2 linked regions of the Danio rerio genome follow. The protein of the gene in region 1 purifies or fractionates together with the protein of each later gene. This does not show direct contact. Links are inferred from orthologs where the notes say so. Each region holds a gene or a part of one and is shown in the gene's direction. Other genes may lie near its edges.

Region 1 (3,762 bases):
AACCCAACACGATTCATTTATTCAACTATGAGTCGACTATTTTGTTAAAGAATCAATTTTTTAAGCATGATGCACTTTCAGTTTTAAACCTCAGCTGGATGTTTTCATTCAATTAGTGCTGTGTTAAACTCCGCATGAAAGGTCATTTTCAAAAACACATAATAGGGGCGATTTAAGAGACCACTTGTCACTTCTTTGGATTCAGACAGTTTATATACAGTTGAAGTCAGAAATATTAAACAAAATTATTAGCCCCTTTAAGCTAATTTTTTTTTCCGATTGTCTACAGAACAAACCATTGTTATACAATAACTTGCCTAATTACCCTAACCTGCCTAGTTAACCTTTTTAACCTAGTTAAGCCTTTAAATGTCACTTTAAGCTGTATAGAAGTGTCTTGAAAAAGATCTAGTCAAATATTATTTACTCATCATGGTAAGGATAAAATAAATAAGTTTTTAGAAATGAGTTACTAAAACTATTATGTTCAGAAATGTTTTCAAAAAATCTTCTCTCCCTTAAACAGAAATTGGGGAAAAATTAAACAGGGTGGCAAATAATTCTGGGGGGCTAATAATTCTGACTTCAACTGTACATTTTAGACAACAAAATAATAATGTTTTAACTTAAGAAGATGAATTGGTAAAATAATCTTTACCACAGCAAATGCATACATTTGTCATCTGACCAATTTTCATTTTCTGGAGATAAAAAAGATGCTCTAAATATGCACTAAGTAATAATACTTTACATAATTTGGAAGGTTCAGCCAGTTAAAGAATGAAACCGATATTAACATTTTGCTCAAACCCAAATCTTTAAAATCCAGAAGAACTGAAATTTGCAAATTGAAACTACATATACAGAAAAGTTATATATTATTTTTAGGTGTAAATGTTAGGTTGAAATACATGTTTTTTCTTCTAAAATAGTAGAATTTTGTTGTGAGTATATTGGCCCTTTAGTGTACTACTTATGTACACCCAAATGTTTTAAGGGCTCCTGTTTAGTCTCTAGTAATTAAACCACAATGTTGGTTAATGAAAATATAAAATAAGTATAATCTCAGACTGTATTGTGATAGTCGATAATGAAAACATTTTTACACATTATAGTATAAAACATGTTGTATAATGTTATTAACTAATCAGAATTGGCATCAGAATTTTTTGTCAAATCATACAAAACTTTGCTTTTGACCTTTAGTTTAGCATAACTGGATTTCATGAAAGAAGCAAATAGACTATTTTGAGCCGGAAGTTTTGAAGAACATGCAAATCTGTTCCGCCTCATAACCAATCTAAACTCCCCTCGCACGTCATGTGACTGGAATTCCCCCCGAGTCGGGGCTTTCCACAGTAACAGAGCGATCAATTTGTGAACGGATCCAGGCGAATACAGCGTTGATTACATGCTCTGGATTCACTGGATAAACGATGTTTTGTTTATGGTCTTCAAACCTGTGAAAATTTATTAACAGTGTTTAGTTGACTCGACGACTTGTAAAAACAACCCGACAACTAGTAAACAAGACGCAAGGTTAGTTTGATATGCAATCATGCCAAATATATATTTGCATTAGTACCGTAGATTTTTGTTGTAGAGCATGCCTCTTTTTAAACAGCATGAAAATAGTCTACTTTCTGTTTTGGAAATAAGGATTTAGTTTCTTAGTGCATCTATTTTAAGCTTGTTTTGAAAACGTTACAATGCAGAGATGCTGTACAGTTCATATGATGTCGAAGGTATAGCTAACGTTACAGTGATACTGCAAATGCATAATTAACAATTATACAACAATGGTTAGTAATATCAGTTATGTGTTTTGAGTACTGCACAAGATTTGTCCCATATGTTTTACTGCTGTTCGTGTTAGTCTGTGGGAAATTCCCATCAAAAGTCAGATGTACTTTTTGGATCTGACTTGCAGGGGAATCACAACCCCATCATACAGCGTGTAATCACTCATCAGATCCATCTTTTTCGGTCTGACAGGAGCCCAGGTTCGGTTCGGATGATCCTGGAGAGCACAGAATGGCTGGAGCACTAAGGTACAGTTTTATCCACTATAGCTGTTTCATTTTCTTTTGAGCTGTCAACATATGCAGCCTTTTATTGGGCATGGCTGGCCATTTCATCGTTTAGATGGTCATAAATGCTGGCAGCTCACTTGGTCATGAGACTATGCATGCTTTAAATTATTAAAGGTTTTTATCAAAGGTTATTACATTTGTAGACTATTTTACATGTCGAAACAGATGTATTTGCAATATGTAAATAAATAGGGGGTTTAGATACAACAATTAACCATTACTATTGAATTGCCATTCAACATCATGTATGGAACAGTTGAAACAGTTTTTTTTTATTTTATATATATATATATATATATATATATATATATATATATATATATATATATATATATATATATATATTGTGTCTATTTAAAAGATTATGGGAAGGTCTTTAATGTTAAGAACATTAGAATGTGTTTTGTCCATGAGACACTTTTTTTATTTGAGTGTCAGTAAATAACAGTAAAATAACAGACTAAAATACCTTTTTCTTATTCCAAAACTTTCTATGTTTAATTAAAAAAAGTAATTAGATGTCGGTTTACATATATATTTTAATTAATTAATATTGTTGTTAGTATTTTATTCAGTTGGATTATGTAAAAAGTATTCATTTCAAACCATTTTGTAGTCATTCTAGGCAATTTACTGAGGCCCCTTGGTGGACATCAGGTCTTTGTTGTTTTATGTCAAAACCATTTTAACATTGAGAATTTGTCTTCTGCTTTAGACTAAATGTTATTGTCATTTTATTTACCTATTATTGACCTTTTTTTAAATAGTTGTTGCTTTGAATTATTTCTGATCACCCCAAATGGTTAACCTTACTGTAAATGTAACATTGTCTCACTTTTACATATTTTCTTTATGAATTTACCTGTTGTTCATATTTGACGTTATTGTAATTTAGGGGTTGTTTGACAAGTGAAGATGCTATCATTTCAAAGAAGAAGGACAGGATGTGGTTATGATCCAGTAGAGTTTTACTCTCTTTTTTCTGACGTCAAAACTCACAGTTTAACTCAAACTGAGCCCTGACACCTCAGAAGGAAAATTCACAGTTTACTTCGCTAGTTTTCCCATGGTTGTACGTGAAGAGTATCTAGTATTGTAGTGCAGTCTTGGTACAACTCATCCTAAAGAGATGGACATGGACACTTCCTCATTCCTGTCAGTGGCAGGCTTAGAAAAAACTTGTGCAATCATGCTATCAAGTGTAATGAGGTGTAACTTTATTTCTGTCATGTGTTAAAAGGATCATTTTTTAGATCTTCATCAGAATTTCTATTTGATTTACAGAGGAAGTGCTTGAAAAGATTTGTGGCTGACTAACAGATGGGGGGCAGTCCCTGACTTTCACCCCATTAACAGTTCAGTCTAAGTCAGTTCCGCAGATTGTCCTAATGAGAAATCTGTGTATTTTCAGTAAATTACAGATAGGTGGATTTTTGGATTTTCTTCAACAAAATAAGGCTGAAAAAGGTAATCATAGGAATTTTGTTTCAAAAGTACCTCAAAAGAAAGGAAGGGAATTAAAAGAGCATTTGGAAAGTTGAGGAAATTCAGATTTGAGAAGGTTGATGTCAGCATGTGAATATTCTTGTACCTGCATTTCTCTGAATTTGACATTAGTGGCAGTAGTGAGCTGGTATTCTGGGGGCTTTCCTCTGTTTTTTTCACTGCT
Region 2 (3,662 bases), about 2.7 Mb from region 1:
TGAACTATTAAACACACAAGCTGTGGCTGCCCTGTATAGATAATAAAATTCTGTTGTTTTAAACCTCATTAGAGAATCCTAAAAATATACATGGTTTCCATAAATATTATGCAGCACAACCATTTTCAACATTGATCAATAAAGCTTCAAATGAGTATATTAGAATTGTTACCCGTTACACATACTTAAAGTTGTAATTACCATAGTTTTTGACATAATCGCATGCAGCTAAACCTAAGCCTTTTTCTAACTCTAACCATTGTGTAACACTGAAGATTTGAGTACTGATGCTGAAAATTCAGCTTTACCAGTAAAGAAATTGAGCATATTTTAAAATAACACTAGAGTATAGGAGACTTCTTTCAGCCATTTCTGCAAATCTTTCTAAACCCAAACTTTTCATTGATGGAAGATGAGTTGTAACAAACTCTACTACTGAGATAGTATACCCTCACAGCCTGTTAATGAATACTCCATTTTTCCACACAATGTGATTGACCATTTTATACAAATTTAAAGAAGAGATGCAAGTATTCTTTTAAACTATCTTTTAGGTCATCTTTTGTTTGTTTTTCTGTCTCAGTTTCTTTTCAGACTACAAAACAACAATCCAGTTCAATGTTGACACCTAGTGGACAAACTAAGTACTGCAAAAACAATTAAAAGTGCATGTGAACTGTGCATAGATTACATGCATTACGCTTATGCTGTGCTAAATTCTTGTATCACTGTATGCAAACAGTAGCTTTACATGTATTTATTTATTACCATTAAAAATGTAAACAACTCAAACTACTTTTATAAAATACCATATGTTGACTTTTAAATTCTAATAGGAAGAACAATTTAAATACAAAGCAGTTGTCAAATAACCACTATATCCACAGCTATACATGTTTATGTTCTTTACATAATCAACAAATGTAACTGGTTTGTATTCAGGCACAAAACACCACACGGAGCTCAGTGAGTCAGAGCGGAGAAATGCCCTCCTCGCTGTCTACGTGGAACCAGACTCAAGCCCAGTGTTCCTCCCGTCTCCCCATGTCCTTGCAAGTGCCACACGAGGGGTATGTTTTTCTTCCAGACCTTCTTTTTTATGAATTATATATATTATAATATAGAATGATCAAATTGTTAAAACAATGACGTAATTAATCACGCTTTTTTTGTAATTAATCATGATTAATCACGAAACGCCATATTTATTACAGAAATAAAAACACAGGCATGTTAGTGCCTTATGAATTTCAAAACAATCACTGCAAATAACAAACAAAAATGATTTCCTTGTTGGATTTTAAGTGGACTACATACACACACGCACAGAGCAGCGCACACGGTGAGCGAGGAATCCCTTCAGATTCATCAACACGCACAATCGCGTTCATCACATTTGCTTTAACTAAGCATTCTAAAGTATGGCTGTCTTTTACATGCAAGGATTCTGACACAGCAACATGAAGACGCTTTACAAAAGTTGCGTGTAGAGGGGAACACGTCACACTTATGAAATGTGAGGGCTCATGGAAACAGCTTGAAGCCAGAGAATAGGGCTGTCTTTGACAGTTTGCGACTTTATCTGCCACTTTCACTTGATATACATTTACATGGACCCCAATACTCCGCTTTTTAAGATAATACTGATTAAGAGTCTACCATGTAAGCAGCGATTTTTGATTACCTTAAAGCAGGGGTGGCCAACCCTGTTCCTGGAGATTGCAACCCATGTCAAACACACCTGCCTGTAATTATCACATGGTATTCAGGTCCAAATTAATTGGTTCAGGTGTGTTTGATATGGGTAGCAACTGAAATCTGCAGGAAGGTGGCTCTCCAGGAACAGGGTTGGCCACCCCTGCCTTAAAGGATCATGCAAGTCACGGAATGCAGAGGCTTTTCTTTTCGTTCGCCATGCAGTATCAAATTCCATTTAAACATCCTGAATGAAAATATGCTGAATGAAAGTGAACTGCTGAACTGCAGTTAAAGTCTAAAGATTAAAAATGAAACACCCGAAATTGCATGAAACTCTGGAGGAAATGCTGGATAGCCTGGTGATGCGACATTAATTGTTTTAACTGAAACTTGGTCTTATCCAAATTTCTTTGCATGATAAACACACGCAGGGCCAGAGCAAGTTGAGCTTGCGCTCAAGGCAAGCGGCAATCACGCCACCCTCAACCCGAAAGTGAAAAAGAAAGTGGCCGTTTCGCAGATGTACACAAGGACCGTGAGGGAGGGGGTGGGTGTAGCAGATTAAAGTGAGGACTGGGGGGTTCGCTCACTATTCTGCTGCCCAAGGCGGCCGCCTAGGTCGCCTCTATGCATGCTCCATCCCTGAACACACGTCGGCCACAACACGAAATATACATACAGAAAAATATACATTGCAATATGTGAAGGCATCATCACCGGTGACGGGTAATGCTTGAATTATAAATGTCTAACTGTTGTCCTAAGATGCATCAATCACATCAGGTTTCCACTTTATTCTTGTACTTAAATGGTAAAGTTTGAGACTCCTGCTTTAAACTCTCTTGGGCCTGAATGCTTACACAGTCACAGCCTTAAAAAAACACATGCAAAGGATAAACCTTCACTCCATTAGTTGAACTCTGCAGTGAAAGCCCACAGGTTTTAAACTGTGGCTCTTAGTCAACTAAAATCCCAGCATATGATTTCAACATTGCGATGTGATTATTGTAGTTACGCACATTAAGCATACACCCGGCGCAATGTGGCGCAAGGCGGGGTGCAGTAGTCTTTTGGTAGTTTCAGCTTGGCGCAAGAGTCGTTTTGAGGCGTTGCGCTACGCTGTTTAAATAGCAAATGCATTAGCGCTCATTTGTGCGCCCATAAGCGTTCTGGTCTAAAAAGGAAGGCGCACTGCTGGCGCGTTGCTATTTTAAGAAACTATAATAGATTTTTCATTAGACCAAAACTAATTCGGTCTAAACTCCGGCGCAGAGTTGTGCCTCGCTTACACACGGCTTAATACGCACAAGAGAGCAATAGGCAAATATCTTTACATATGAAAAAATTTAAATATTAAGGATATATATAGGATATAATAAGAATAGATATAAATATAAAGGATTAAAATATTACGAAACATATTATTTTCTAGCCTACATACATATGAAAAACCACTGCTTTTATGTCTTCTTCATCTCGGGAGGCTTTTTCAGTTCATTCATAACAATTTGCTTTTGTATAATGGTATTATTATTAGCAGTATTATTTAATATATCCATATTTATATTTGTTTTATTAAAAACAAGCTTAGATTTGCCCACCTGTCAGGTTTAAGACCATATGAGGCACAGCATGTGTTTTAGGATATAACTCAGGTTTTTGAGCACATTTTGTTATTATTGTTCATTTATTCGTTTGCTGGAAATTAGAACTGAATTTAGAAATAGTTTTGAAACGAATATTTGCGCTTAACAAACAAAATTAATTATTTATAGACTAATTGATGTCTGTGCGTAAAGGTTTCCCTATCCAAGAGAGAATGTGAAAGTAGATCCATTATCTCTCATTCTCACGCAGTAGATGCTCTGTTTAACAGTTTTCTGTTAAAAAACTGTCAACTGTTAAGTGTTTGCTTGTGAAATGCTCATTTTTTTCCACTTAAACTTACTTTGCGTCCTGTAAAT

Evidence for each region.
Region 2: the proteins of nfkb2 (region 1) and chuk purify together in Homo sapiens (affinity purification with western blotting; 4 studies listed by BioGRID and IntAct, with this or other methods). This does not show direct contact. The link is inferred for Danio rerio from reciprocal best matches to the Homo sapiens genes NFKB2 and CHUK.

What each region holds. Positions count from the first base shown.
Region 1 is NC_133188.1:25,863,753-25,867,514, forward strand, and holds the start of nfkb2 (nuclear factor NF-kappa-B p100 subunit), read left to right. Parts: upstream 1-1,359; 5' UTR 1,360-1,539; intron 1,540-1,930; exon of another isoform or gene 1,931-1,995; 5' UTR 1,996-2,034; coding exon 2,035-2,051; intron 2,052-3,762. UniProt on the Homo sapiens protein: NF-kappa-B is a pleiotropic transcription factor present in almost all cell types and is the endpoint of a series of signal transduction events that are initiated by a vast array of stimuli related to many biological processes such as inflammation, immunity, differentiation, cell growth, tumorigenesis and apoptosis.
Region 2 is NC_133188.1:28,592,290-28,595,951, forward strand, and holds part of chuk (inhibitor of nuclear factor kappa-B kinase subunit alpha), read left to right. Parts: intron 1-942; coding exon 943-1,070; intron 1,071-3,662.